2 linked regions of the Tamandua tetradactyla genome follow. The protein of the gene in region 1 purifies or fractionates together with the protein of each later gene. This does not show direct contact. Links are inferred from orthologs where the notes say so. Each region holds a gene or a part of one and is shown in the gene's direction. Other genes may lie near its edges. The genes, in order: BRAF and RPTOR.

The links.
Region 2: the proteins of BRAF (region 1) and RPTOR purify together in Homo sapiens (affinity purification with mass spectrometry; 3 studies listed by BioGRID and IntAct, with this or other methods). This does not show direct contact. The link is inferred for Tamandua tetradactyla from reciprocal best matches to the Homo sapiens genes BRAF and RPTOR.

Annotation. Positions count from the first base shown.
Region 1 is NC_135327.1:184,379,025-184,394,907, reverse strand, and holds the start of BRAF (serine/threonine-protein kinase B-raf), read left to right. Parts: upstream 1-9,842; 5' UTR 9,843-9,887; coding exon 9,888-10,010; intron 10,011-15,883. UniProt on the Homo sapiens protein: Protein kinase involved in the transduction of mitogenic signals from the cell membrane to the nucleus. Phosphorylates MAP2K1, and thereby activates the MAP kinase signal transduction pathway. Phosphorylates PFKFB2.
Region 2 is NC_135332.1:72,765,242-72,782,085, forward strand, and holds the start of RPTOR (regulatory-associated protein of mTOR), read left to right. Parts: upstream 1-9,311; 5' UTR 9,312-9,869; exon of another isoform or gene 9,870-10,083; 5' UTR 10,084-10,138; coding exon 10,139-10,300; intron 10,301-16,844. UniProt on the Homo sapiens protein: Component of the mechanistic target of rapamycin complex 1 (mTORC1), an evolutionarily conserved central nutrient sensor that stimulates anabolic reactions and macromolecule biosynthesis to promote cellular biomass generation and growth.

The DNA of each region.
Region 1 (15,883 bases):
TGTGAATTATTGATTATATATCAAGAATAGAATGATCATATGGTAAGAATATTCATATTTGCATGTCGTTATGTTTTTAAAAATTAAGCTAATTTGTTTCATTTATATTTAAACTCACATTGTATTTTTTCATCCTTTTTTTTTTTTGGCATGGGCAGGCTCTGGGAATCGGTCCTGGGTCTCTGGCATGACAGGCAAGAATTTTGCAACTGAGCCACTTTTTTTCACCCTTTTCATTTAATTTAGTTTTGTTTGGAATATGTAGGACTATTACATGGTTCATAAGTAAAACTATATTAAAAGACATACTCAGAGAAGCCTCACTCCCATCATAACCCCTCCACCTTATTCATCCCTTATCAGTTACTATTTTAATTATATAAAATATTATATATTTTTTCTGTTTGATTTGTTTTCCCTTGTTTCTTACTCAAAGGTAGTGCATTGCATGCACTTTATTGCACCTTGTAATAAAAGCAAAATTTTTTTAATTAGTACAAAAAGTATTAGATAGCAAACAACATTTCAAAGAACTCTATTTCCTATTGACATACCCAAGGATAGTTTAAACCAGATATCCTTTAGTAAATATTAGAAATATAATACCTAATAAAGTTCATGAATCTAGAAGCAAGGTTTTCGGTCATGGGCAAGAATTAAAAAGTCTCTGGGAATTGTGAGTTCAGTGGGAGAGATGACTGATGCAAGACAGATTCAAAGTCCAGACCTAGTATAATAGCATTTTATTGAAAAAAAAAAAACAGGGACTTTTGTTGTTGTTGATCATAAGCTTCATGTGCACCAATAATGTGATGAGGCTGCTTACCTTCTCTTTTATTACATTAACAGAGGCATGGTTCGCTAGGTTATTGCAAGTAGAGATACTATCTCCTGTTGGTCTGACCAAATCTGGAACAGTGTTCAATTCATGGATCCAAGTTTTAAGATGGATGTTGGAAAGAGAACACAGAGAAAAGAGAAAAAGCTTCAAGGTGAGAACTAAAGGAAATGGAACTCCCTTCAAATATTTGAAAGAAGTTACACAGAACAAGAAGTCAACTTGTCCTGTGTTCTCTTAGAAGGCAAAACTAAACCAGAATATAGATGTCATGAAGAGGAAGATTTCAAATCAACTTCAGATAAAAAGATAGTTGCAGTTGAATTTGATTGAAGTATTGAATAGAGCTTGGATTCCACAGAGGAGATTCCGAATGTCACTCAGCAGAAGGCTGCGCTAATCAACTCAGTGATTCTATTCTCTATTCATGCTTAGATTCTGATCGCAGCCCTCTATTTCTCAAGGCAAGATACATTATTCATGATGATAATTTCATTCATAAAGAAAATATTAAATTATACTCAGCTATACATCATTGAACCTGGCTGGAATTTTAGATGCTTTCTATTTATTTGTTTCCCAGTAGTTTACCATATTAGTGCAGGATTAGACCTGGCAAGGCATGTCTGGCAGACGGATGGGACTATCTAGTATCTATCAGAATGCAGAAAAGCCAGTTGGAAACAAATATCTCCAGGGAAGAGAGGGTCAGACACATCAGCAAGACTTCTAGTGTCTCAATTATCAAGGGAAGCAATGGTTCTGAGAGACAAAGCCTCTCACTCTGATTTGTCTTCCAGCTTCCTGTGAACTCATGGACACCTTAGGGGAAAGAGGGATTTAGGTGAGCAAAACCTGAAAGAAGTGTTCAATTAAATGTCTGTAAGACTTTAGAATGCAAGCTAATACTGCTTCGGAGCCCAGGTGACAAACAGCAACACAGAAGGAAGGTGTTCTCCTTTTTTGCTCAGAATATAGACTGACTTGGCTCATTACAGGGTCCAGGAACACAGCGCTGGTGTTTTGTGTACAGGGTTTCAGCCCATCAACACTGCTTGTGGCAGCATTGGTGTCTGAGGGGAAGTGCCCAGGAGAGGACAGAGGCAAGAGACCTCCATTTATTTTTTTATTTAAAAAATATTTTTATTGAGAAATCTTCACAGTCATACAAACCTCCATTTATTTTTACATGCAGTGGAGGCCTCATAAGCTGAAAAGAGAAGGTAAACACTCCTTCAATAGTACATTGAGAAATTCTCTGTTAGTTCCAAGTAATAAATGGGAGAATATGTGTGTACAATACCCTCTGAAGAAGGCGAGGGTAGGTGACCAAATTACTACAGAGTAGCCAGTTCATTACTCTGAACCTGAACTGTGGCCATTTTAAAACATACCTGTAAATTATTTGACATGTCCCCTGTTAAAAGGTGTGATCTATATCCCGTCTTTGAATTTGAGTTGGACTTAGTGACTCATCTACATCTAATAAAATGCAACAGAAGTGATAGTGTATGACTCCTGAGACTAGGCCACAAAATGCAATACAGTTTTTACCTTGCTTACTGAAACACTAGCATTTGGAGCCTGGAGCCTAAAGAAGTCTAATTACCCTGAGGCTGCCATGCTATGCAGCTCAGGTCACCCGGGAAGGCAGTATTTAGGTGTGCTGGCAAACCACCCCAGCCGAAGCCCCAGCACCAACCTCCAGACTAGTGTGAGTAAATACGCCTCTAGATGAGCCCAACTCCCAGCCATTGAGACACTCCCAACTATTGAATCTTCCCAGCTGAGACAGCAGACATCTCGGAGCAGAGATAAGCCATCCCTGCTATGCCTTGTCTGAATACCTGACCCACTGAATCTGTGAGTTTGCTGGTTTGGAGCTGTCTTGTACCAAAGCAATATTCTTTTAATCCACTCCTGTGGGGGCAGACCTATTGTGGGTGCGTTTTTTAATTAGTTGTTTCAATCGAGATGTGAACCAGCCCATTCAAGGTGGGTCTTAATTCTTTACTGGAGTTCTTTATGAGGGTAAAGACAGGAAAAGCCCAGACAGAGGAACGTGAGATACCATTGGCCTTTCAGTGCCTTGTAGTAGTGCTCAATAAATACTGTATCATTCATGCATAAATAAAAATAATAATTCTAGAGGTTTCAACAGATGGTACCTACTGGTGTGAAATGTTTTTCAGGCTATTCTTTCATATGGATACTTTCAAACTTGACTTTTTTTAAATAAAATAAAATTTGTCATTAAATATGAATTTGTTACTGTGTTAGTTAGATTCAGTTGTCAACTTGGCCAGGTGAGCATACCTAGTTTTGTTGCTGTGGACACAAGCCAATGGTACATGAACCTCATCTGTTGCTAATTACATCTGCAGTCAGCTAGGAGGCGTGTCTGCTGCAATGAGTGACATTTGACTTAATTGGCTGGTGCTTAAATGAGAGAGCACAAGGTAGCACAGCTAAGCAGCTCGGCATTCCTCATCTCAGCACTCGCAGCTCAGCCCAGGCCTTTGGAGATGGAGAAAGAAGTCACCCTGGGGAAAGTTGTTGGAACCCAGGGGCCTGGAGAGAAGGCCAGCAGAGACCATCCTGTGCCTTCCACGTAAGAAAGAGCCTCAGTGGAAAGTTAGCTGCCTTTCCTCTGAAGAACTAACAAAATAAATCCCCTTTTATTAAAAGTCAATCCGTCTCTGGTGTGTTGCATTCTGGCAGCTAGCAAACTAGAACAGTTACCTTTCCTCTATAAAGGCCAATGGTATCCCATGTTCCTCTGTCACATGGAAAAGCACATGGCTGGTGTTTGCTGATCCTTCTCTCTTGGGTTTTTTTGCTTTCAGGTGCTGGCTCTTTCAGTCTCTACCAGTCCTTGCTTGCTTCTTCTGGGGCTTTTCTCTCCAAGCTCTCTGGGTGGTTCAACTCTCTTGGTTCCATTTTAAAGCCAGGAATGCAGAAAGAGCATAAGCCCTGGAGTCATTCATATCTAGGCCTCTAATTGATTTTTTTTTTCTTTTTCTTTTTGCATGGTCAGGCACCGGGAATAGAACTCGGGTCTCTGGCATTGCAGGCAAGAACTCTGCCACTGAGCCACCATGGCCTGCCCTCTAGCTGATTTTTTTAAAATTTATTTTATTGATTAAACATAACAACATACAAACAAACATTCTTACCATATGATCATCTAATTGATTTTTTAAACTTTTTTATTGCTAAATATAACATACATACAAAGAAAAAAGAATGATTTTCAAAGTACACTTCAACAAGTAGTTACAGAACAGATTTCAGAGTGTGCTACGGGTTACCATTGCCCTATATCAGATTTTTCTTTCTAGCTGCTCCAAAACGAGGCTAGAAGTCTATTTGATTTTTTTAAAGTGTTTTTAATTTGAAATACTTACAATGTACAGGAAAGTTGCAAAAATGATACAAAATCCATACACAGAACTTGAACATACCCCCACTCAGATCTCTAGATACACTAACTTTTTTTAAATGCAGTTTTTTTGAGACATAATCACATATACAAACCACCTGAAGTATACATTCACTGGCTCACAGTAGATACACCAAGTTTTAACATCTTGCCACATCATTCTTTTTATACATCTGACTATGTATCTTTTTAAGTATCTATGTATCCATGTGTCTATGTATCTATCCCTTTCTATGTGTGTATATCTATCTATTCATCTATCCATTTTCTAAACATTTGAGAGAGGTTGAATACACTATGCTCCTTGAACATAATACTTCCATCATTCCCTAAGAACAAGGATATTCACTTATGTGAACACCTTAGGTATAGTTACCAAATTCAAGAAATTTAATATTGATAGAATGTTTACAGTCTATATTTAAATTTTTCATGTGTCCCAATAATGTTCTTTCAGGCATTTTCTCCTCCATTTTTAGATCCAGTCCAGGATCATGTATTTCATTTATTTGTTATTGTCTCTTCACTCTCTCTCTTTTTGTAAGTAGTGGACACCTATTTACAGATGTGAACTTTCTCAAATCAGAATTCCCAAACAGGCATGAACTTTCCCATATCAACCACTCCCAAGCATAAAATTCAAGGGGATTAATCACATTCACAATGTTTTGCTACTTCACCACCATCCATTACCAGAACTTTCCTATCACCCCAAGCACAAACTCTACATCCATTATGCATTAATTTCCTATTATCCCTTCCACCTCCCATCACTTATTGGTAACCTATAGTCTCCTTTTTGCTTCTATGATTGCATATTCTATCTAATTTATATAAATGGATTCATACAATATCTGTCCCTCTGTGTCTAACTTATTTCACTAAGCATGATATCTTCAAGGTTCATCCATGTAGTAGCATGTAACAGAAATCACTTTGAATTTTAATTATTTGCTTCACATTTGTTCCCCTGGATTAGGTTCCTTTTCTTTACTTAACATAAATTCACTTAGGTCATCATCTACTTTAAGCAAAAGGGGAAAGTTATAAAAAGTCATATTTATAAGTTATAAAAAGTGGAATTGGAAAGCTGTTGGAAATCTGAGGAAGTTCTGAGTATCAGCTTCTTTGTTTACTCCTCTCATGGGGCCTGGATGGTTTTGCTTTCATGGTATTTCTTCTTCTTTCTGCATGTCGGCGTGGGACTCCTCTCAATACCAACTGACAAATCCTGTATATAGGCTCCATTTCAAACTCTAGGTAGAGCTGATAGGGCTGGTCATCATAACCCTCTGTGCTGATTTGAAACTGTTATGTACCCCAGAAAAGTCATATTCTTCTAATCCAATCTCGTGGGGGCAGACCTATTGTTGGGTGAGACCTTCTGCGTAAGTTGCTTCCACGGAGATGTGACCCCAACCGTTTAAGGTGGATCTTAATCTGCTTACTGGAATCCTTTAAGGAGACACTTTGGGGAAAGCATAGACACTTGAAGACAGAAAATGCCCCGGGTATATGCTAAGCTAAAAGATGAAATCCAGAGTTTGCCCCAGTGAAGCTAATAGAGGACTCACAGATATTGAGAGGGAGAAACACCCTGAGATGCTACTGAAGCAGAGAAAAAGCCAACAAAATCAGAAGCTAAAAGCAATGAACACGGAGCAAGGACTAGCAGATGCTAGCCATATGCCTTCCCAGCTGACAGAGGTGTTCCTGATGGTGGCGGCCTTTCTTTAGAGCTCAGGTATCATCTCATTGATGCTTTAATTCAGACATTTTCATGGCCTTAGAACTGTAAATTTGTAAAATAAATCCCCTTTGAAAAACCAGTCAATTTCTGGTATATTCAATTTTGGCAGCTTTAGCAAACTGAAACACCCCTCTTGGGCAGAGCTCTGACAGGTGCAGACCAACACTTGAGTAAGTTAGATGAGGGTCAGTGAGTGGCCCAGCCTTAATCTGCCTCTGAAGGGATGGGGCTCTCAACCTCAAGCTGCTTCCCTGGGTAGGAGGTTGGGGCAGCGAAATTCTACTAAAATACAGCTCACATGTTCATTATATGGCACCACTCCAGGAGGTAAAAGTGATCTCTGAAGGAAGGACAATGGTGTCCTACCCATCTCAGTATCCCAGAGGACCTACCACAGTGTCTGCTCCATTGTAAATGGTCTATATATGACTACTGAATGGCGTCTTGAAAGTGCATTAGATCTTTAAGGGACAGAATATAGAAGGAGAAGAAAAGGATGCTGAGAATAGAGCTATGAGGAACCCTGATATTTTTAATTTGAGAAGAAGGGGAGTCAGAGACAAAACAAAAACAAAAACAGCAAATGAGCAGTCTGGGAGGAGATACAAGTTTGCAATACTCAAGCAAGGAAATAATTTTGGAGTGGTTAAGGTTGAATGCTGGACAGAGGACACGGTGAATGTTTGCTGAATACTTATAGCATTTTATACTTTGCAAAGGGCAAAACTATAATGTTAGATTCTCAAGATGCTATAGTTACACAAGTAGGACTAACATTATTAGCCCTTATTTTATAGATTTTAAAGACGAAAACAAAGAAGATTTAAGTTTAACTATTTTACAGCCGAGGTGTGGCATGGTGATACTAAAATCCTGACTTTAGATTCCAAGGTTTGTGTTCTATCTGGATGCTGTGGGATTTTAGCCTGGCCTAAGGAACTCACATATACCCAGAATTTGAAGACATGGTCAGAACATGTTGAGTGAATCAAAGGGAAACTAATAATAATAAATATTAACTGGATGAGCTCAGCCATCCTCTGGAGAAATAACCATGCAAGATATGATCTATGGATTATTGCCGATAAATAAGGCAATAATTTAAAATGCAACCAGTAAAAACCATAATCTCAGGACTTTTAGCATGTTATGAGGCACTGTAAATGTTATGATAATGAAATATCTTTAGGGGCTGATTGGAAAAAAATTAAATAGGAGCGTAAGAGAATAAAAAAAAAAGTTAGTGTGGTTTTGATGAAATAAAAGGTAAGGATGCCATGACTGATGGTGGTATTTCAATTTGCTTAGAATGTCCCCATGGTAAAGTAGGGTGCTTCTTACTTACAAATTACTATACCTTGATTTTATACCTTATGATCACTTCATTTACTCTTCATCTGCCAAGCTACCTTGGAATTTAAATGTTTTCCCTACGGAGATTTTTCTACTTGGAAGAAAAAGTGCAGAGGAGGTGAAAAAACATACCGTCCTCATTTGATAGGTTGTATTTCTAAGGGTTGAGGAATATTGGTAATATTTGTTAATCAGCCTTGTATGCAATCAGCCTTGCATACAATACCTTACCCGGGAAGTACACATTAGCTTCTAGGCTCATGGTCACCGTGCTAGTTTGAAACTTTTAGGTACCCTGAAGAGTCGTTTTTTTTTTTCAATTCTGATCCAACCCTGTGGGGCCAGATCTATTGTTTTGGGTGGAACCTTTGATTAGATTGTTTCCAGGGAGATCGACCCACTCAATTATGGGCATGGCCTTTTGATTAGATTATGTCCACAGAGATGTGACAAACCCAGCTGTGGGTGTGACCTTTTAATTAGATGGAGATGTGACTCTGCCCATTCAAAGTTTACTGGAGTCCTTAAAAGAAGCAACATAGACACAGACATTTGGAAATGCTTAGAGTACCAACAAAGAGAGCAGACACCTAGATATAGCTGTTTGGGGGACACAGAGCCATGGTCATGGGGGACATGACCATGTACCTTCCCATGAGATGCTAAGCAAGCCAGAAGCCAGCAGGATCTGCTGGAGCTGAGAGAGCTATTTGAAACTCAAAGCCAGGAAGGGATGTAGACACCAGCCACATGCCTGCCTATGTGACAGACATTGGTTTTTCTTAAGTCTAGGTATGCTTATCTGGATGCCTTAGTTTGGACATTTTTATGGCTTCAGAACTTTAACATAATAAATTCCCTTTATAAAAGCAAGTCCATTTCTGGTATATTGCATGCCAACATCATTAGCAAACTAATACACTGACTCCTAAGCATACTGATATGCAGATACCCTGGTTCAGAAATCAGTTAGCCAGGTTTATATTTCTTTAATCATTTTAAATATAATAAGGAGGTCAGTGGTAACTTCCTCCCACTCTATGGGAAGTATTAAAAAAGCACAGTTCAGGAAAATTCTCCTGTCCACACTTTCAATTATATGCTTAGGTTAATTTGGTGATTAAATGCATACCACTGGGAGTCCACAGTAAGTTCTCCTGTGTTTCTCATTCCTATTTATCCCTTTTTTTTTCTGAGTCTCTCTTGCTTTTTTAATATATGCATTTTTTTTTTTTTTTTTTTTTTGAGAGAGGGAGGAAGGGAAGGAAAGACAGAGAAGGAAGGAAGGATGGAAGGAAGGAAGGGAGGAAGAAAGGGAAACATTTTTAAACATTTTCTTGTTTTATTATATTTTGTTTGTTTGTTTGTTTTTTACATGGGCTGGGGCCGGGAATCGAACCGGGGTCCTCCGGCACGGCAGGCAAGCACTCTTGCCCGCTGAGCCACCGCGGCCCGCCCAATATATGCATTTTTAATAGCACTTTTGATTTCTTTAATTCCATTTTATAATTCGGCACTTCAAGGTGATTTTACCTATCCTCTACAATTGTTTAGCAGAGAGAAGGCCTTGGTAAATTGTTTATAAAAAGCACAAAAGTATATGATTTTCTCGGAAAAAAAATGATTAAAAATTTGATGCTTCAGATGTCCAGATGCCGTCCCTTGTATAGGCCATAGCACATATAAAGCTCAATTGATAGTTGTTAAACGAATAGACCTGGAAAATGAAGACTTAAGAAAACATTACTTCCTCAAAAAAGCTATTAGACTTCCATTTAGACCCACTCAACAGGCCAAATTCTTAAATGGAAAGGATACAAGAAATGCACTAATTATTTAAGCTGTTCTGAAGTATACTTTTTTATCCAATCCTACTTGGAGCCTTCAATCTTGGGGTTTAAAAATCTCCTTTTTTTTTTTTTTTTTTTTTTAATAACACGGAGACCTTCATTGTACTGAAATAATTCAAGTAGTGTGGGCTTTCCCCGCTTCCTCCAAGATTTCAATTTCTCAGACACCAGCCTTCCTCTCCTAATAAATCCCACATTACTGAACAGGCTTAGGACCAAGGAAATGATAATAAAATAGGAAATCGGAGCCATGGAAACCAAGGAGCTGAGGAAACACGCCAGCGCGCGCGTGGGTAGAAGGTAATAGAACCTTCTCCTGACAACGGCGCGAGGGCGCTCCTACGATTACGTCACGCACTACGGGGGTGACGTCACGACAGTGACATGAGGGTGACGCCGTTGCCGCGGCGACTTCTAGTCGTCTCCGCCCCTTTCCCCCGCCCCCCCCTCCGCTTAGCGTCCTTCCCCCAATCCCCTCAGGCACCGTTTCACCCGGGGCCGCAGGCCGGTACCTGAGGTGGCCCAGGCGCCCTCCTGCCCCCGGCGCCACCACGATCGTCCCTCCCCGCTGCCCCCGCGCCTCCGCCCCCGCCTCCCCCCGCCCTCCTCCTCCCCGCCCAGCAGCGGTCGCTCGGGCTCCAGCTCTGTTATAAGATGGCGGCGCTGAGCGGCGGCGGCGCGGAGCAGGGCCAGGCTCTGTTCAACGGGGATATGGATCCCGAGGCCGGTGCCGGCGCCACGGCCTCTTCGGCTGCGGAACCTGCCATTCCCGAGGAGGTGAGTGCCGGTGCCATACTATCACCTTTCTTGTCTCCTAACTTGGCTGATTTGTGTTTATTTTGGGGAGAGAGGTGGCGGTGGAGGCTCTGGTGTCCTCAACCACCTTCTCCTTTTGGCTTTGCGAGGTGGGAGATGGGCATCTCTTCCATTCCGGTCTCTCGGTTTTGCGGTTCTTCGCTACGTAAACACAGTGGCCAAGGGGGATTTCCCCTGGCCCCCACCCCAGATTTGGGGATACGGGCAGCGGTGGTTGAGCAGGAGGCTATCAGTAGGGGGCGAAACTCAGGATTGGTCCGAGAAGGTCACGACTGACTGAGGTATCCAGCCCGGCATCTATTAGATGTTTTCGTGTTTTTTTGGGGGGTGGGGGTGGGCAGGGAGGAGGCGGCCTCATCCAGGAGGAGTATGTAGGCTAGTGGATGGGATCGAGACCCCAGTCTGATTTACTGTTGTGTGTGATTATTAGAAGATAATGAGGATGATGGGGCGCGTAATTCCCCCTCTACTCTCTCTGATTGTCCCCTTTTTTTCCTAGGCCACTGTCCTCCCTTCCACTGTTTGGTCATTTATATTCACCTGTGTTACTCGGCGGATGGTTTTGATTTAGTCTCTGCTTTTTTAACTCTTAAGTACCACAGTTTCCGCTGTCCTTTCCATCCAGGTCTCAGGCCAGTCCCTAATGCTTGTCAGCGCTCTGTCGCTGACTGGCCGCCCCCAATACCATTATGATCTGTTGCCCTGCTCATTTTCAAGTTGTTGGGACCTCCCTGCTTCTTAATGTAGGCTTCTACTTAAAACCGTTGGTGCACTTCTCTTGTTGTAGTTTCTTGAGGCCCTCTACTTCGTGCCACCGTTCCGTCACGTTGTTAATCCTTCAGGACACTTTGAAGCTACTTATTTTCTGAATCCTTGAAGCTGTCAGAATTCCATCAGGTTTTCACACTTGTGAAATTTTTTTTCACCCTTCCACTATTGGCACTTTTTGGCTGGTCTTTCATTGTGTTTTCTCACCTCTTTATTCCTATATTCTGTAGTTTTATTTTTTTCTATTATTCTCCTTTTTTGTCCCAATTATTTTCTTTCACTTTTTTTCTTTTTTTAGGCCTTACTTTTCACAGCCTGTTTTGGCATTATTCAACCTATCTTGTTAGGTTACTTTATTTGCATTTCACTTTATTATGTAAAATTTATTACATTTAGTATTTTATTACATAAACAGTATACTTTAATTTACAAATACATACACTTTACAGATATTTTATTACATTAAAATAGTACATTTTATTTACTTTACCAATGATAAGATAACATATGGTATAGTAACTGTTTTAGTAGTATTGTTTAGGTAATGAGACTAACTCTGTTGACTTTGCTCGAAGTTCCATTTCCTTCCTAGTACTTATATCTTGTTTACCATTTGTCATAACCTCTCATTCTTTCTTCTATCTGCATAATTCTTTTTCCTGCTTCTTCCTCTCTGCTCTGGGAATTCATCTGGTATGCCTGCTTTATTCAGAGTCACTTTGTTCACAATTATGTTTGTTTTCCACCCTCTTTTACCACTTGCATCTATACCTAAAATGTGTTTTGTGCCATCGTTTGATCTAATCTCAATTTCTCGTCTTTTCTCCCTTCTTAACAAAATCACTCCACTTTCCACTTTCCAGGTTGCATTTCTGCTCAGGTAAGTTTCCTCTAATATTTATTTTATTCAACTTCTTGGATTCTAAGGATAGGGCTCTTCCCTTCTATTTTGTGCTTTATTCTGTTTTCTGTGTCCGCAGTTACCATTCATTCTGCCTTGTTTCCTGGCTTTTGATACTTAATTTGCTGAAGCTTCCTCTTGTCTTCCCCACACCTCCACATTCCTTCTTATTTATAAACAGCTTTGTTCCCTTGACATGGAAGTTTATTTTTAGGATACATTGTTTTTAATGGATAAATACTAGGGGTCACATCTGCTGTCTATTTTTTCCATGAATCGGATATGCCTTTGTCTTACCAAGCACAGGTGCCTCTAGGCTTTACTTTACTCTGCGTACATGGTGTGTTTTTGTTTTATTGTAGCTTTTTTTGAAGGCTGTCAAGGAATGGAAGGACAAATAAATTAATGGGTATGGGTTATGAAATTGAAATTGATTATATACGTTGTTTACATTGAGAACTTTTTCAGAGTTATGAGAACAGTTTTCAATGATATAGGGAAGGGTAAAATCTTTACTCTGCTATCCTCCTTGAAAGGGCCAGATTGGAGTATACAGATTCCTCGGCATTACCTACTCAAGATTCTGATTCAGTAGGTGAGCACTAAGCTCATGGGTTTCTATACTTGGTGCTCTTCCTGGGTAACTCTTGTGTACACCAATGCTTGAGAACCTCTAGGCTGAATGAATTTAAGTTTAAATTAGCAGTAACTGGAAAGCATAGTCTTATTTCCTGAAGCTATAAGGATACTCTGAACTAATTTTAAATACTGGAAAAAGTGTTTCTCACTGCCCCCTCCATCCAGGTTTTAATGTTTAGTGATGAGTAGTTGTTTTTCCTCTCTATTATGGGCTGATCATTAAGTATATTGGGGGGGTGTGAATGATTTTAAAAATCGGTCTCTCTTGAATGTATGTATCAGTGTTATAGATGGTAGAATAAGTTCCTCCAAGAAATAATTTTAAATTTGAAGTTGATATTGTTAAATCAGTGGAAGCTGAAATGTATTGTGGTATTTTGGTTAAACTGTCTTCCTTATATCCACTTAAAGGGATGTCTTATAATTGCCAAGTACATGGAAAGAAATGAAAATTTGTGTTTGTGTTTAATGACATTTTATTATAAAGTTACCTTACCTGATGTTAAAATAAAGTTCTGCTTTTTTTTTCTTTTAAGTCTGTTAGAGGGGAATTTCAACTGTATTTTTTTTTTTAGTGACAGAGACAAAACATGTTCATAGTCGAAAAATAAAAGTGTAAAAACAAAATGGAAAAATCACCTGTAATGTCACTCAGATATAACTACTATAAACGTTTTGATGTATATCCATCTACTTTGTTTAATGTATGTATAATATCTGGTATGTAGTTTTGCAGTCTTTTCTAACTTAATGTGGCAAAACTTTTTACTTATCATGAAATAAACTACCATTTATTTAAACTTTTTTTTTTTAATTTTAGGGTGCATCAAATTTTTACCATAAAAAACATCTTGAACATAGAATATAAATTTTAGCTTTTAGAATAGTAAATTTTAGCCTTTAAATTTGTTAGGGAATGAACAAATTTCTTGTTCTGTATTTATAAGCATAACTTTGTAGATGCTTAAATTAGAATTTTCTGCTAAATGACAAGAGTTTATTAAATATTTATCAAATGAATGTGCTTATACTTTAGGCATTAAACATTGACTTCTTATCATTTGTGTTTCCCTGATGTTACTTTCTATGACCATATGGTATGAGATTATCAAAGTATGATTTTTATTAACTTCTCTATTATGCTGGGTTTCTTTAGAAGGGCACTACTTACAATTCCATTACAATTACAATTTTATGTTTTTAAGATCCTTTCTCTCTAATCTTGGTTAAGCTGTAATTATAATGATGTCAGGGAATATTCTGGAATGGAATCTCCTTTATAATGAAGTCCACTGTAAGAGAAGACTTCTTTGTGAGCCATGCCAAACTAGGTTGGATGGCATCATACCTCTGAAATGTGGTAGTCCCACTAAGGTATGTGCTTGTGTAGTTCTGACTATTGCTATTAATACGTGCCTAGATATATTTGAAGGCGGAGAAAACATGCTCTTTAGGATATGTCTTTGATATTTGTACTGTTTCCTTTCTGTATACTTTCTTTCTGCTCATTTAGTGGACCCCCTCTTTCTTTTAGGTGTTCACCCACCTCTTTATTTAGAAAATTTCTCTGGGATTGCTTTTTTTTTCCAGTCAGCCTAATTCCCTGGAGAGTAGTCCAAGCCATTGCGTGTATCAATAGTTCTTTTTTGTTGTTGCTGAGTAGTATTACATGGTATCAACATACCAGTTTATTCAACCACTCACCTTTTGAAGGACTTTTGGGTTGATTCCAATTTTTGGCTGTTAAAAATAAAACTGGTGTGAACACATGTGCACAGGTTTTTGTGTGAACATATGCTTTCATTTCTTTGGGATAAATGCCCAGGAGTGTGATTGTTGGATCATATGGTAGTTGCATGTTTACTTTTTTATGAAACTGCCACACGGTTTTCCAGAGGGCCTGTAGTGTTATTATTATTATTTTTTTAGTAGAAAACTGTAGATTTACAGAAAAATCTTGCAGAAAATACAGAGTTCCCATCTACTGCCCCCCAGGCCCAGTTTTCCCAAATAATTAACACTTTGTATTAGTGTGGTACCTTTGTTACATTTGATAAAACTGTATTACTATAACTATACTCTTAACTTTAGCCCATAGTTTACATTAGGATTCACTATTTGTGTTGTACAGTCCTTTGTTTTTTTTTAAGTTTTCATTTTAGTAATTTATGTGCAATCTAAAATTTCCCCTTTCACATTCAAATACATAATTCAGTGCTGTTAATTACATTCACCATCTTATGCTACCATCACCGTTTGTTACCAAAACTTTCTGTCACTCCAAACTCTGTACCAATTAAGCATTAACAACTCATTCCCTACGCTCTCTCCAGTCCCTGGTAAGCCTGTATTCTAGCTTCTGACAGTATGAACTTGTTTATTCTAATTATTTTATAAGAGTGAGATTATACTCTGTTTGTTATTTTGTGTCTGGCTTATTTCAGGCAACAGGATATCTTCAAGGTTCATCCATGTTGTTGTATGTATCAGAACTTCATTCCTTTCTTCTTTTTTTGGCATGGGCAGGCTCCAGGAATCAAACCCAGGTCTCTGGCATGGCAGGCAAGAACTCTGCCACTGAGCCACCATTGCCCACCCCATTCCTTTTAATATATGAATAATATTCCACTGTATATATACACTAGACTTTGTTCATCCTTTCTTCCACTGGTGGACACTTGAGTTGTTTCTCCTTTTTGGCTGTTTTGAATAATGCTGCTGTGAACACTGGTATACAAATACTTATATGAGCCCTGCTTTCAATTCTTTAGAGATTTGTGGGTCATATGGTCATTCTATACTTATCCTTTTCAGGAACTTGCCAAACTGTTTTCCACAGCATATGTACCATTTTATTTACCCACCACCAATGTACAAGGTTTGTAGTTTCTCTACATCTTCATCAACACTTGATTTTTTGTTTTAAAATAGTAGCCGTTCTAGTGGGTATGAAATGGTGTCTTATGATTTTGGTTTATTTTTCTAATCATAAACGATGTTGAATGTCTTCTCATGTGCTTTTTAGCTACATGTATTTCTTTTTTGGAGAAATGTCTGTTCAGATCTTATGCCCATTTTTAAATTGAATTGTTCATCTTTTTGTTCAGTTGTAGTAGTTATTTTTTAAAAATTTTTATTGATAAAACCAATCCACATACAACATGAACATTCTTAATGTATGAACATTACATACTTGGTGTGCAATCTGTATGTGTGTGCTCACAATATCGTCACATAGTTGTATATTCATCACCTGATCATTTCTCAGAACATTTACATCATTCCAGAAAAAAAAAATAAAAAGGAAAAAAACAAAACTCATACATTCAATATCCCTTACCCCTCCCTCTCATTGACCACTAGTATTTCCCTCTACTCAGTTTATTTTAACATTTGTTCCCCCTATTATTTATTTATTTTTAATCCATATTTTATCTGTCCATACCATAGATAGAAGGAGCATCAGAACAAGGTTTTCACAATCACACAGTCACTTTACGAAAGCTCTATCATTATACAATCACCT
Region 2 (16,844 bases), on another chromosome or scaffold:
TGCTTCAGGGCATTCATTTGCAGTTTCATCTGGTGAAACAGGATTAATCACTCTAGGGCTAATCCCCTCAGGTGGAGGTTGGGTGGCCAACTCCTCAAGGCAGGTTGGAGGTGGGGCAGTTATGTCCTCAGGGCAAACTATTACAGTGTTATCTAGAGAAGACTCAGCATGATCTAGGGTTTCAAACTTTTCACCGACATCATTATCAACCCGTACGTATGTCACCATCCCATTTTTCAGGGCCCTACTCCTTTCAAATCAATGCCCTCACTTTAACAGCAGACACCATGCAAGATTGAGATTTCCGTTTATGTTGTAAAGTTGCCACTCTGACAATAAGATTCCGAGTCTGATTTTCAGAGATCTCAATTCTACGGCTATAGGAAATAAAATTTTCCTTCAGGGTACTCACAGAAACGTCTACAGCTGTCAGATGGTGCTTAAGCTTCTTGTCTGAAGCCCTAAGCCCATCCCTTTCACTCATTAATGTATATAGTGTATCTAACAACAACCAGCCAACATCTCTATACTTACTATTTCCACAAAACTCCGTAAAGGCATCAAAAACATTGTCCCCCAGAGCCTGGCTTCATACAAGGAAAGTGTTAGAAGAACTGAATGGTGGTATTTTCACTATCTCTTTTGCCAACTCACTCCAGGGATTGGTAATGTCATTCTGATTATGGGAATCAGAATCCTTAGTGCCTATGAACTCCAGTCAATTTAGAAAACCATTCATAAAAACCCATTTTTAAGATTCTGTTTTATAAGAACCATTCCTGGTACCAAGTTGTATTAGTTAGGGCTCTCTAGAGAAGCAGAATCAGTGGGAAATATCCATAGATATAAAATTTATAAAAGTGTCTTATATAACCGTGGGAACATAGAGTTCAAAATCCATAGGGCAGACTGTTAAGCTGATGACTCTGATGAAGGGTTTGGATGAACTCCACAGGTGAGGCTCGCCAGCCGAAGCAGGAAGAGAGCCTGCCTCTTCTGAATCCTCCTTAAAAGGCTTTCAGTTATTAGATTAATCATCACAAAGATGACATCTCCTTGGCTGATTACAAATGGAATCATCTGTGGATGCAGCTGACATGATCATGATCTAATTCTATGAAATGTCCTCATTGCAACAGACAGGCCAGCACTTGCCAAACCATGATTAGATTAAGCATCACTCATTAAATAAGACACTCCCCTTGGTTGATTACAAATGGAATCAGGTGTGGATGTAGCCGATGTCATCATGATTTAATTCTATGAAATGTCCTCATAGCCGAAGACAGGCCAGCACTTGCCCAACCAGACAAACAGGTACCACCACCTGGCCAAGTTGATACGTGAACCTGACCATGACAGAGTCCAAAACCACTGCTTTATCATTTTATACATTTGTCCTTTAGATCCTGTAGGAAGTAAAAAGTGCAGTTACAACCAAAACCACAGTAGGACTAGCAGTTATATTTACCTGCATCATTATCCTCACCAGAGATCTTTATCTCTTCATGAGGTTTTAATCCTTTGTTGGTGTTGGGTTAAACCTGTAGAATTCCCTTTATCATCTCTTGTGGGGCCAGTCTACTAAAGATGATCTCCTTCAGCTTTTGTTTCCTGGGAATGTCTTAATCCCTCTCTCACCTAAAATAAATATTTATTCTTTACTGATATATATTATATATTCACATACCATGTAATCATCCAAAGTGTATAATCAGTGGTTCACAATATCATCATACAGCTGTGCATTTATCAGCAAAATTTACTTTTTTTCTTTTTTGTAAAAAATAACATGCATACAAAAAACAATACATTTCAAATCACATCACAACATTTAATTGTAGAACAGATTTCAGAGTTTGGTATGGGTTAGAATTCCACATTTTTAGGTTTTTACCTCTGGCTGCTCTAAGATACTGGAGACTAAAAGAAATAACAATATAATGATTTAGCAATCATACTCATTTGTTAAACCCAACCTTCTCTATATATCTTTTTCTAACTCTTTTAGGGGTATTTGGGCTATGCTTATTCTAACTTTTTCATGTTGGAAGGTGTTCTAGTTTGCTAGCTGCGGGAATGCAATATACCAGAAATAGAATGGCTTTTAAAATGGGGAATTTAATAAGTTGCTAGGTTGAGAAAATTTCCCAATTAAAACAAATCTATAGAAATGTCCAATCTAAGGGATCCAGGGAAAGATACCTTGGTTCAAGACGGCCAATGAAGCTCAGGGTTTCTCTCTCAAGTGGAAAGATACATGGTGAATACAGTTAGGGTTTCTCTCTCAGCTGGAAGGGCACATGGTGAACATGGCGTCATCTGCTAGCTTCCTCTCCAGCTCCCTGGGAGGCATTTTCCTTCTTCATCTCCAAAATTCGCTGGCTGGTGGACTCTCCGCTTCGTTGTGCTGTGGCATTCTCGGCTCTCTCTGAATCTTCAGTTTTCTCCAAAATGTTTCCTCTTTTATAGGATTCCAGTAAACTAATCAAGACCCACCTGAATGGATGGAGACATGTTTCTACCTAATCCAGTTTAACAACCACTCTTGATTGAGTCACATCTCCAGGGAGATGATCTAATTATAGATTCAAAATACAGTACTAAATAGGGATTAGAAGAAACTGTTGGATTTATAAAATGGGATTAGGATTAAAACATGGCTCTTCTAGGGTCCATACATCCTTTCAAATTAGCACAGAAGAGGCTGTCGATAATATGGGATGGGAGATGGAACTAACTGATGTTCTGGAGAGGCTGGCCCCTGTGCATTTCAGGATTTATCGGGTCCAGGGACCCATCTGGACGTTGCAGTTTTCTGGAAAGCAACCCTAATGCATGGAACCTTTGTAGAATCTTATATAATGCCATAGGTGTTCTTTAGGATTGACTGGAATGGTTTTGGGTGGGGTTTGGCAAGTCATGGTAGGTAGCAAGGTCTAACTGAAGTTTGCATAAGAGTAACCTCCAGAGTAACCTCTCGACTCTATTTGAACTCTCTCAGCCTCTGATACCTTTTTTCACAATTTTTTTTTTTTTTTTTTTTGCATATGCAGGCACTGGGAATTGAATCTGGGTCTCTGGCATGGCAGGTGAGAACTCTGCCACCATGGCCCATACTGATACCTTTTTTATTGCATTTCTCTTTTCCCCCTTTTGGTCAGGATAGCATTGTTGATCCCACGGTACCTGCCTCCCTTATTCTTTTTCTTTAATTTTTTTTCCTTCCCTCATTTTTGAAAGACAGTTTTGATGGACATAAAATTCTTTGTTGGCAATTTTTTTTTTTTTTTTTTTTGCTTTCAGCATTTTAAATATGTCTTCCCACTGCCCTCTTGCCTCTATAGTTTCCAGTGAGAAACTGGCACTTAATCTTATTGAGGCTCCCTTGTATATAATATATTCCCTACTCTCTTGTATCTTTCCAAATTCTCTTCTTACATTTGGCAGGCAACAGTTTGATTATAACATGGCACAGTATGAGTTTATTTAGGTTTATCCTGCTTGGAGTTTGTTGAGCATCGTGGATGTATATAATTCAAGTCTTTCATTAAATTTTAGAAGATTTCAGCCATTATTTCTTTGAATATTCTCTCTGCTCCTTTCTCTCTTTCTTCTTTGCATTTTCCACAATGTATATATTTGTACATTTGATGGTATCCTACAGGTTTCTTGGGCTTCTTTCAATATTTTTCATTCTTTCATCTTTCGTGGTCTTCAGATCAGATGATTTTTATTTATTTATTTATTTGGGGGATACATGGTCCGGGAATCGAACCCAGGTCTCACTCATGGAAGGTGAGCATTCTACCACTGAACCACCTGTGAACCCAATAGCAGATGATTTCAATAGTCAATTTAATTGATTCTTTCTTTTACCAGCTCTAATCTGCTGCTGAACCCCTGTAGGGAAGTTTTAATTTATGTTACTATGGTTTTCAGCTCTGTTTCATTCCTTTTCATGGTTTTCCTTTCTCTCTATGCATATTTTTTTTCTGTTAGTCTCTCACTTCTCTGATTCCTTTTAGGTTTTTGTCCATGTTTTCCTTTAGCTCTTTGAGCATATTTAAGACAATTTTTTAAAAGCCATTGTTCTCCTCGTTAGAGGCCTAGTCTTCTTTGTTGATGGTTTCCAATACTTTATCTTCTCTTTTGTCTTGACTATCACCTCCTATTTCTTTGATTGATCACTGGAATTTAGACTCTGAGGCATCTATTTCTTCAGCTTATATCCAGCTAGTGTTAATACAGAGTTTTCCTTGAATGCCAGGAACTAACAACAAAAAAAAAAAAAAAAAAGGGGGGGGGGGGGGAAGAAATATCTTTCCCTGTCTTCGTAGATGGACAGGTGAGAGAGCTCTCATTCAGTCTATCCACACAATGATTTTAGAGAATAGCTCGAGGTGGACGTGCAGGGACCTTCTGATACTTTTGCATGTATGTTGTCTTGGGCATATGAATGTGGCCCTAGGAAATCCCCCACTTACATGGTTCCGAATATCCCTTCTTCTCTAGGAATTTCCTCGCGGTCAGGGGCACTGCCCTGTGTGTCCCACAGCAGCAGTCCCCTGCCCAGGCAGCGCAGCTTGCCTGCTCACCCATAGTGTTCTGCCCGGTGAGCCTCCTTCCACATGCAGGACAAGTTCTGGGACAGCGAGTCTCTCAGGCCACCCCCAGACAGACTGGCCCAGACACACCTGCTCCCAGGGTGTCCAGGAGGTCAGACTGCTCCCTCTGAGGCTGGGACCGGGGCACTGGCAGCCTGGGCAGCTCTGTGCTGAGCTGGTGAGGGGTGGGGGGCGGGCCAGCCAGGGTACCATGGGGTTCTACCAATTTCAGTACCTGTTTTCTTGATTTGGTGCTCACCCTGTTTTTGAGGCCCTTTAACCGTCTTCTGGAGCTTTGAGAAAGACGTTTCTGCCAGTTCTTTTTGGTTTTCGAAGCTTCTCTGTTGGGGGGGCGAGCCCTGAAGCATCTCACTCCGCCGTCTTGTTCGGGTGGGGCCTCTCTTAACACGCTATCTGCAATGGGCACATGTCCATCTTCTTTGCTCCACCTGCAGGGTCCTGGGGGAGCAAGGAGGGCGATCTTGGAGTTTGTGACCTGGGAAGGACACTTGTTTTCATCCTGCTCCACAAAGAATTTCCAAGGGCTGTGGACAGCGGGGTCAGATCCAGGAATGACTTGGAGGTGGACTAACTCATCTGTCCAGACTGATTGGCTAGAGGGTCCTCACTGGACCAACAGGGAATGTGACCCAGACACATTCCCCCCTCCCTCCCTCTGCTCTGCTTTCCACCTTGCTCTACATTCTAGGTACCCCAAACAGGTGCTTTGTCATCCCGGACAACACAACCCCATGTGGAGAACAGCCTCCCAAGAGGGGAGGCAAGGGCTGAGGTAAAGGTCACATTTCACTGTCTTCTCCCTGGAAAATTCTTCAGTATATGCAGGACTGAGGCTTTACTCCTGGTCTCTTGTCTTCATGCAACACGCCCAATTCCTTCTCTGCTCTGCCTTGCTGCTGTCCCTTTAAGGCTGGGACGGTGCAAAAATCCTCAATTCTGAAATAAGAAATGTGGCCAGTGAGTGAAGTTTATTGACTAAGGGGTCACTTTTCACCATAGTCCCCACGTGACTCAGAGGTCATCCCTTATTTAAAGCAGAATAACACTGTTGATTTCTGCTTATCAAAATAATACACGCTCATTGTAAGAAAAAAGTTATAAATAAAATAGAAAAGTATACTGTGGAGAGTGAAGATCACACATACATCTACCACCGTATTTTTAGAAGACGACGTGGAAAGTGAGAGAGACAGACTTGTCTTCTCGCAACCTCGCATTTCCCACTGGAGGTGATGCTCAGGTCCCATTACTTCCCTTTCCTTTCCCTTCTCACTTCACTGTCACCAAAACATCTGACCTGCAAGGGTGTGGTGGGGGACGGCTTGGGTTTTGCTAAAAACAGAATAATGATGCTCGGAGAAAAACAAAGTACTTTATATCTATTTTGGTTTCTTTTAAGCTAAGCACAGATTTCTCTGGAAGGGATGGAGCCGGCCGGTCTCTGTCTGTGGAAAACAATAGCTCAGCAAAGCACCCAATTTTCTGCAGTTGTCCGACCTTGGGTTTCACTCTTGATTCTTGATGATGACAAAGCACACTGAATGCCCTTGATTGATTTAGTGTAGAAACTGCAATATTGGAGGATGGAAAACCGGTGCTGCGTGCAAATGGAACACCTAGGCTGCAAGGGTCTTCCGTTTCGGGGAAAGATTAGGTCAGTTGGAGTGGGCCAGTAGCAGAGCTTCCAGGCTGTGAAAATCCAGTCCCCTTTGACCTTCGTCCACAAATTGCTCCTTACATTAGGTATTTAATCCCATCCTTTCTGCCCAGTACCCCCTCTCACCTTCCACCCCCCCTCCCATATTTACCCTTGACTTTTGTTCCATTTGATCAACACACTCAGGTTTTGATATTTGTCCTCTTGCCCACTTGGCTGTATCTCTGGCTTCAGGGTGTCTTTCATGTAGCAGGCAGAGTCTGAGTTTTAGGGCTGGAAGGCATCCTCCCGTCTGTCCTCACATGGTCAGGACACATCCCCCTCTCTGAGCAGGCAGGTCAAGGGCTATTCTGATATTTCAGATCAGAGCTGAGCCTAGAGGCCCCTCCCCTTCCCCAGTTCCCTCCACATGGGGCCCCTGCCCACCATTGGCAGGATGGTTTCTACACCCCTCTGCCTTGCCAACACTGCTGTCAAGTCTTATATAAAAGACTATTTCTTTCTAAGACTCAGTGGGGCAGGTGTCATGAACGACCCTCCCCCATTTCCATAGCTTGAATCAGACCAAGTTTCATGCATTTTTTTTTTTTCTTCAGATTTGTAAAACTTGTTGAAACTATTTTGTCTCGAACCTTTGCGGAAAGCAGATGTCTTTGCTTCTGAAGAATTGGAGACACTGGAAGTTGGAAAGGCAGACCCAAGTGGCCAAGCCAGGCCCTGCCATGGTGATGGGATCACCCAGCTGGGAAACATCAGCCCTTGGATTTTAGCCTGTTGTTGTCATAGGTGCTTCTGTGTTCCTGAAATGTGGAGCTGAAGGGTTGTCTGGGACTGGAATAGAATCATCCGGGACACGTGGAATGAGATTTCTTTCCAATGTCATGATGTGATGAAATGACTCAAGCTCATGTTTGAATCTGTAGGTTGGAGGCTGGGCTGCCAGGAGCCCCTTTCTGGGTTTTACACAAATGACAGGATTTTGTATCTGAAGGGTCCTTAGAGAGCACCTTCTTCAGGTTTCTTGTGTCACAGATGTGGAGACTTTGGGTGGAGACAGGCAGAGGCTCTGCGGAGTCTGCAGGTTTCAGTGGGTGGGCTGGAGACTCGGCCTGGGCACTCACCCCCTCCTGGCCTCTTGATTCTGGTGTCACATTGTACAGCAGGAGAAGAAGTGTTTTAGTCTGAAATTTTCAGTGTTTTCTTGCTCTGCTTTGCCAGGTGCTTTACAGTAAAAAAAAAAATTTTTTTTTGGTTCAAGTATTTATTGAGGGCCCACATGTATTTGGAGCATTGAAAGGGACCTTAGAGAGCAAATTGTCTAATGTCCCCAAATATGGCTGATTTAATCTATCATTGGGGTTATCTGATTGAAAAAATGCAGATCCCATTTCTCCAACCCCTCTTTCCCAGTTTAATAGGTTCAAGATAGAGCCAGGCATCCTTATTTTAAGTATTTTCCCAACTGCCAAGTTATGCACTATGGGCTCATCTCTTAACGTCACTTAGTGTGTCAGACAAGGTAAGTGGATTGATTCCCCAGGGTCACATGTTAACAGGTGGGTACACTGAGCCTCAGTCAGACTGAGGGGGTTTGCTCAGGTTTGGAATGGACAGGTTTAATCTGGGGCTCCACTGCAGCACAGGGTCCTGCTGGAGGGAGCTGCCTGAAGCCCAGAGGTGCCACCTTCCCTGCTGTCCTCAGCCTGAAGACAAGGCAGGGGCCAAAGTTATTTTGTTGCCTTCTGGTGAGAATAGGGTCTTCCCAAGTTCCTGCTCATGATTGTGGGGATACTCTCTGCCAAAACGTCGTAGCCCCCCTTTAAGGATTGGTGAATTTGCCCTGATTTCTAATGCGAGAACTGGGCTTAGTGGGGTATAATAATGAAACAAATGCAATGAGAGTAGATTGAGTTTGCAAATTTAAATGTTTGCTATGGGTAAGAACAATCTTGCCCTCATCTGCACTTCCACCGTTGAGAGGAGAACATGCCATAAGGATTTGGGGGCGGACAGCCACATTGTGTCAAAGTCCTAGGAAGCCACCAACAGGGTATCCTCGAGAGCCTAACCTGAGGTTTTCGGTTAAGAAAGCAGGAAGGGTTTGCTAGATTTCACTCTAGCCACAGAAAGATTATTGCTAATCCTTATTGAATGCTCACTATATACGAGGCATGAGTTAATTTTATCCTTCCAAGCGGGGATTACTATCCCAGTATTACAGTTGTGGACACAAAGACAGCTAGTTAAGGGATTGGCCAAGGTCACACAGATGGAAAGTGACTTGGCCAAGATTCGAATCCAGGTGTGTCGACTCAGAAGCAGAGAGGAAGACCGAGTGTCTGCTCCGTCCCGCTTTAACTAAAGGTATGTGTGTGTCTCCCTAGACACTAAGTTTATTGAAGGCAGGGACTGATCGCTGCATTCGGCTTTATATTCCCCACTGCACTTAATAACAGTTTCCTGCGCATTGTAAATAAAGAGTGTTTATTTACACTGAAATTGAGAAATAAAATAATCTGGGAGGACTGCCTCAACGCATAGAAATCCATAGCTTTTGGTCTTTGAAAAAACAAAAAACTGCTCAGAAAATATGGTGGAAAAAACAAAAAATGACCTATGAGGTATTTTTTTTTCAGTTGTTTTTCTCTGAAGAAAATTAAAAACAGAACCTGCTGGTCTGGGTACTGTGGCAGATACTAAGTACAAAAGATACTAATTTTCTTCTGAAATATTATGGATTTTTTTCCTGAAACTTATGTTGCCTTCTTTTCAAAATCTGGAAGAAACAAGGCGGTCGGTTCCTTTAATTACACAAGCATGTAACTTGGGTTGCAATAATGGATTTTCTTTTTTCAAAATTAATTAACTGAATCTGGTTTCATTTCTGGGAGTGACTGTAATACCATGCGGCGATAAATGAAGAGAGGCCGAATTGTGGTAACCCAGGCAACCAGGCAGGAAATTCTTGTCTTGCTGGATCTAGAGAACTAGAGAAGAATGCTTTAAGGAAGTTTGGCCCGTCAGGCACGCCATAGATTGCAATGCATTCTGGGTCTCGGCAACATGGCGTCCTCCTTGATGTGCTGATGAGAGGAGTTTCACTGTCGCTCCAAACCAGAGGGCAGAACTCTCCAAACCCAATAAGCCCACGTTACCGTTTTATCCGCGGGGCCGTGTCGCCCTTTCCTTAGGACTCGTTTTCAGGCAGGATTGAGCCAGGGTGCCGAGGGCCAGGACCAGCCAGGCCGCGCGGTCCCGGGGCTGAGGAACCGGCCGCAGGCCAGCACGATGGGCCGATCCTGGCTCTGGTTGCAGCAGCTTAGGCGAGTACGAGACCCTCAGGGCTGAGAGTGACTGGAGGAGACCTGAGGCGCCCAGAACTAATAGCTCTCGGCCGGAGATCTCGTCCAGTCGGCGAACCGGCACCAAGACCGGGGGGCTTGCCTGCCCTCCGATCTGCTGGGGCGGTGGAGGCCGAGAGCAGGGTCATCGTTAGGCCTGAAGTCTCACGCCTTTGACAGCTCGGCTCCCAGACGCTCGGAGGACGGTCATTCTAGAAGCAGCCAGTGGCTTGGGGTCTGAGGGTGTGTGAATTTGTGTGGAGCTCCTTGGGCTGCCCCGTTTGCCACCGGCTTTTCCTTCGACTTCCCGCGCAGAGTTAGAGATAGGGAGCTCAGACTTTTTGCTTGAGTAAGGGTCTCTGCATACTCTCCATTCATTTCTTTTTCTAACCCCCCCCTTTTTTTTTCTTCTTTCTTTTTCTTATTTCACCAATTCTGGTACACGCTGATTTTTAAGGCTGGAGGTTTTGGAGCGCTTACTGCCAAGGACTCCCCCACCCCCTCCTTCCCTGATGGAGTCCGAGATGCTGCAGTCGCCCCTTCTGGGACTCGGGGAGGAAGATGAAGCCGACCTTACAGACTGGAACTTGCCTTTGGCTTTTATGAAGAAGAGGCACTGTGAAAAAATCGAGGGCTCCAAATCTTTAGCACAGAGTTGGAGGATGAAGGACCGGGTAAGTAGGTCCTAACCGAGTCCCTTGGACCTTGGTAATTTTGCCAACGAGGAAAGTTCAGCCAGAGGCGTGTCCTTGGGAAAGCGCCGGTATTTTTTCCCAGCCACATGTTACAAGTCAACCAAAAAGCAAGAAGCATTTCCGACTCCAATGTTTGGTTGAAAATGGGAAAGATTGTTTTGGTTAGTAATTAGTGGGTAGCGTTAATTCAATTCAAACGAAGTTCTAATTCAGCTAGTAAAAGTTGAGCAGATTTGGAAATACAGTATTGTAAATATTTATACACTCTTTACTATATCTAGTGCTGTTGGATTTAGAGAAAAGACAATTTGGGATATAAACCAACACTTGGACCCATGTGGATAGTCTACTTTTGGGGGAATAGGGGGTGGGTTCCAAACTGGGTAATTACAGAAGTCTAATATAAAACAGTGTGCTAAGAAACAGGATTACTGTGAAATGTTCAGCTAGTAACAAATTAATGCAAGGTTGTTTTAAAGTTACAATGAGTTTCATTATAGTCCTCTCAAAAGTTTGTCTAGAATCTAGACTCATATGGTATTGTGGTTGTTGTACCATGGAAACAGAATTTCTTTAATAGTGGAATTTAGCATATGATGGTTGGAATTTGGGTCCAGGCGTTTTTAGTGGGTCTGGGCCCCCATGGTGCTGGAGTGTATTATTCATTGGCTCGCAAGCAGCTGCTAGGAAAGAAGAAAGCCATTTTTGTAGAATGCATAGTTAATCAACCACATGTTTCCTGGTCTTCAAAGCAAAAGGGTGGAACCATCTCATCTGTGCACACTTGTAATTTGGCCTTTTGTGATTTATTTTCTCCTTCAAGGGTGCCTTTATTATTTGAACTGAATTTCAGTGGTATAAAAAGGGGAAGTTGGTGTTGCAATACAATATGGTTTGTTCTAGGCTCAGTACATGTTTACAGGAGGTTATTGTTTTTAATATCTGATGTTAAACATGTAAGATTACTCTATTGTAATTCAACCAGTGCTTCAGTTATTGATTTGGTTTATTTTTAAAAGATTAGGAAAACTTCTTTCATCCAAGAGTAGCTTAAAATGTACAATAAACGGTCATTAGGAGAAGAAGTCTGTTGTATAAACATCTTTAGTACTACTTACATAGTTTAAAGCTTTTGGGATTGTTGTTCATGTATGAAAAGAAATTTATCTTAAAGCAACTCTGTCTAATCTTTTTTTCCCCCACATTCTATTTGGAGGGCAATTTTATTTCCTTTGAAATGTGGTTCCTTTTACTACCTTAAACCCACGCTCAAATTGTTCAAAACTGATTGATGGATATATTTTGATATATATTAATTTGTGAATGCCGAGCATTCCCTAATAAGCTTGTCATAGATCATTAAGTAAAGAAAAGTTGTGAGAGTCTGAGTAACTATTGAGTTTGCCATTCAGAAAAGAACCAGGGGAGAAAGTTTGCTGTATCTGACCTTTGCAAATTGCTGAATAATGACGAAAATCAACAGCTAACAGTTTCTGTTACATTTGTGAGAGGTTTTAAAGAGTCCTTGAAGTCTCTTTCCTCTAGTCAAAAAACTCGAGGGGGTCTTTTCAATCCACTGGACTAGAATTAGAAGGTAGCATAAATGAACAAAGCAGGTCAGGTATGAGAATAATACTGGCATAAGTTCAAAGATAACATTTGGCTCAGTGTCTTGTAGATTTTCAGTGTCTGGTAGATTTTTTGGAGAATGGGAATGGAGGGTTCTGGAGAGCATATTCCTATCTAAAGAAGGCAGCTGGGCCTCAGCTAGAATTCTCTCTCGTGTGCATTATCTTTTTTTCCTTCCCACCCCTGCCCCCTTCCCTCTCCCCTTCCCTTCCTGCCCCCTATTTTCCTCCTCCCCGCTTCCCTCCTCCTTCCCCTTCCCCTTCCCTTATTTTTAAATATTGGAACTAAATGAGATATTACAAATAACTATGCAGTGCAACACTGCAGGCCAAACAAAACCACCTATGGACTGATTTTTTAAAATTAATTAAAAAAGTTTTTTAAGTACCAAAAAACACCAAACACAAACGTTCTTAACTTTTGATCATTCCATTCTACATATATAATCAGTAATTCACAGTATCATCACATAGTTTCATATTCATCATCATGATAATTTCTTGGAACATTTGCATCTATTCAGAAAAAGAAATAAAAAGAAAACAGAAAAAAATTCATACATACCATACCCCTTACCCCTCCCTTTAACTGATCACTAGCATTTCAAACTAAATTTAACATTTGTTCCCCCTATTATTTATTTTTATTCCATATGTTTTATTCCATATGTTTATTCCATATGTTTTACTCGTCTGTTGATAAGGTAGATAAAAGGAGCATTAGACACAAGGTTTTCACAATCACACAGTCACGTTGTGAAAACTGTATCATTATACAATCATCTTCAAGAAACATGGCTACTGGAACACAGCTCTACAGTTTCAGGCAGTTCCTCCAGCCTCTCCTTTACATCTTGAATAACAAGGTGATATCTATTTAATGTGTAAGAATAACCTCCAGGATAACCTCTCAACTCTGTTTGGAATCTATCAGCCATTGACACTTTATTTTGTCTCATTTTGCTCTTCCCCCTTTTGGTCGAGCAGGTTTTCTCAATCTCTTGATACTGAGTCTCAGCTCATTCTAGGATTTCTGTCCCACATTGCCAGGAAGGTCGACACCCCTGGGAGTCATGTCCCATGTAGACAGGAGGAGGGTGGTGAGTTTGCTTGTTGTGCTGGCTAGAGAGAGAGGCCACATCTGAGCAACAAGAGAGGTTCTCTTGGGGCTGACTCTTAGGCCTAATTTTAAGTAGACTTGACCTGTCCTTTGTGGGGTTAAGTTTCATATGAACAAACCTCAAGACTGGGGACTCACTCTATAGCTTTGATTGTCCACACTGCTTGTGAAAATATCAAGAATTCAACTTGGGGAAGTTGAATTTTCCCGCTTTCTCACCATTCTCCGAAGGGGACTTTCCAAATACTTTTTTATTTACTATTCAAATCACTCTGGGATTTATCAGGTCATCTCTCTGGACAAACCAACAAAATCTCATGTCCTACTCAAGGTTCCATGTACTTATGGTGTTCAATTAAGCTGTCTACATAAGTTATATTAGGAAATGCTCTAGTCAAAATATAAATTTTGTACCAAATAAACATTTCTTTGCTTTAGTCTCACACATAAGTTAAAATTTTAAAATATTAATTACCATCTGTTTTCAGCACCCAGCAGTAATGACATTCCTTTGTTCTTCCTGATGCAAAAAGATTTTTTAAATTTGTGCATTTAGTCACTGTCAGTATACACTCTAGGCATTCCTACATTATACCATCTCAGTCTTTATTGTCTATCTTTCTGATTTCATTTGTGTCCCCAGCCCTCCTCCCTTTATCATTCTCACATTCAGCTTCATTCGGTGTTTTAACATAATTGTACTACAGTTAGGTAGTATTGTGCTGCTATGGACTGATTTTGACCAGTGGCTACCCATGTGTGACTCCTCCTCTGCTATGAAACCTATAGTTGGTTTTAGGACTTTCTGGTACCAACGCATCCAGACCAAACTGTTTCTCTGCTGGAGAGTGTCACCACAGACGGGCCTGGTCACAGTGCCGTAGAGATTGTGTAGACTTCTCCTGGTGGGCCGTTAACTGTTCCAAAAGGCAGACTCAATCTTCGTTTCTTTCTGTGATTGATGTGCCTTTCCTTGTACTTTTATTTTGTGTATGTACAAACTTACTAGTGTTGTATTAGTGGAATTGTTATGGATTCCTAAAATTTACGTATTTACCAAAGTTAACTGAAGACTCTAAGAAGTTTTTAACATTTGGCAGCCTTCCAAAGCTACAGTACATGCCTACTCTCAGTTGGAGTTCTGACAATTTTTATTTTGAGTAGGTCCTGGTTTTCAAATACTGCTATTGTTGCATTTTAATTATTGTTACTCTTGTTTAATGCCATTATTGTCAACTTATTCTTTTGTTTGGTTACTTATACAGTGTAGAGTGAATGATATTCATATACATCAATAGTTTTTTATGGTTGTGATGCTGTAATAATTAGATTTATATACAACTTACAGTACAAAATGAGTCAGTCATATACTTATGTCTAAAGCATATATATATATATCCTCTACCCAGTTGTATTTTATTGTGATATTTTACAGCTGTCACAGAGTTTATTTTTTCACTGGAAAGTGGGGTAGGTGGGTAATTGGTCTCAGAAGCAACTTTTGTTTTGTATATGTGATGTGGAATCAGAAAAGCTTGAGTGCTTTCACTCTAAAAGGAAGCAGTTGGACAGACACCTGTATATGTGTATATGAGATATAACTATAAAACGATGATGCCAAACCAGCCTCTAGACTTAGTTGCATTGCTTTGTAACCATGCTTTGAATAAGTTACAGAGGAAGCAGAGTGGGTACATTGAACTAATACATGGACAGTAAAATGTTTAGGTTGTCTTTTAAGCAGGAATAATAGTAATACCTTACAATCACACATTACTCCCCGCGGTTCCTCCCCTTGCATTTACTCCTCAGTCTGCTCCACTTAGGCTTGTCTTCATTTCACTAAGGCTGCTTCTGACCCCATCATCATTTCTTGCTCAATCTAAAGATCAGTTTTCTGTCCTGACCTTATTTGACCTTTTAGCAGCATTCCACACAGATGACCACTCCCTTCTTCATGGAACTCTTTCTTTACCTGCTTCTGTGTCTTTATGAAACTCCAGGTTTTCCTTTTAGGTCACTAATTTCCTGAGGATGTGCCTAAGAAAGTGATCTTTCTCTTTTCTGTGTCCACCTCTCCTTCACGAATCTCATCCAGGATCATGGTTTGAAATGCCCTTTACATGCCAGTGACTCTCAAATCCCCCACTTTTAGATCTGACCTGCTCCTGAAACTCCTGTCTCAGATTGTAATTGCCTACTTTGCCTTAGTTTTCTCTATTGCAGCATGCTGTCCTCACCATTCACCCAGTTCAAGCTGTAAATATAGATTTTATCTTTCATTCTTTCCTTTCCCTTGCCCCATCTCCCTTCCAGTTCATCAGCAGAACCTGTTGACTTTACCTTGAAAACACATCTTTTCTTGGACCACTTCATTTTATCTACACCGCTGCCATTCTAGTCCAGGCAGCCAGCATCGCTTGTCTGCACAATAACAGTGGTGTTCTGGCTGGTCTCCCTATGCCCACTGTGCCTTCCAGTTGATTCTTTACATAGTGGTCAAAATGATCTTTAAGAAATGTACTCAACTTATCTTACTTCCTTATATCTTCCTCAGTGCTTTGCATAAAATGCAAGCTCCTTATTCTTGGTTCACAAAGCCTGTGATGCTTTGCCCTCTGGATTTGAACATTGAGTTCCTTCGAGTTAGCTCCTTATCATTGTTCACACCCGGCTTCCGGGTCCTCCAGGGGCCACCCCTGATCACCCAACCCAATGCAGCCGTGCACTCACTTTTGACCACTCTTCGTTTCTCAGACATTTTCCTCCACACTCCCTCTTCTACAAATAAACTGGTGTAAAGGACAGTGCCTGACACAAAGTAGGGATTCAATGAAGTGTATCAATGAAAAGATGAATAGTTTACCAAGGACTTTCACACAAATTATCTTTCTTAGGGGTCCATAGTGCTGTAAATTGGTTAAAAATTATTATTCCATGGTATCGATGAGGAAGCTGAGTTTTAAATGAAATGACTTGCCTGAAGTTACATGGCTAGCAGTGAGAGGCAGTGGAACTTGAGAAACAAAGTCTAGTTGAAAATAAAAAACTGAACTACCAAAATGTTTCAGTTGAAAGATTCAGGGTACATTCAGAGGTCCTGGGGTCGCAAACAAAAAATATGTGGGGATATAGTAGTCAGGTGAGAGGGAAGGGGGCTTACAAAAGTAGCAGTAGACCACCATCGCATCATTCAGATTGAAAATGGTGTCAGTGCTATAGCGTAGCTGCTCTCAGGGTATGCCGTATGGTCTCCTGGGCTTTCCTGAGACCCTTTCAGGCGGTCTGCAATCAAAACTATTTTCTTAAGAAAGATAATGTCATTTGCCTTTTCCACAGTGTCGACATCTACAGTGATGGTACAAAAGTAACAGTGAGTTAAACTGCTGGCATTATATATGAATTGAAAACAGTGGTCCCAAATTATACTAGTAGTTATTGTTTCCTATCTGGCCACACACTGACAGAAAAAAATAGAAAAATTCCAGTTTTACTTGAGAATGTCCTTGATGAAGCAGTAACCATGATTCGTTTTATTGAATCTCACTCTTTAGTGCTTGCCTCTTTAATGTTTTGTGTGATGACCTGGGGAGTTTACAGAACGGACTTGTGAAAACTGAAGTAGGATGGTTGGTGGCGGGGTAGCAATGTGGACTGCCAGCTGCAGTAGCTGCTGTTTTTATGGAGCTGGAGCTTGGCTTGGAAGGAGGATGGATGGGCCAGCTCTGGTGCTTGGACGTGGGTTTTGGCAGACATTTTCTAGAAAATGAATGAA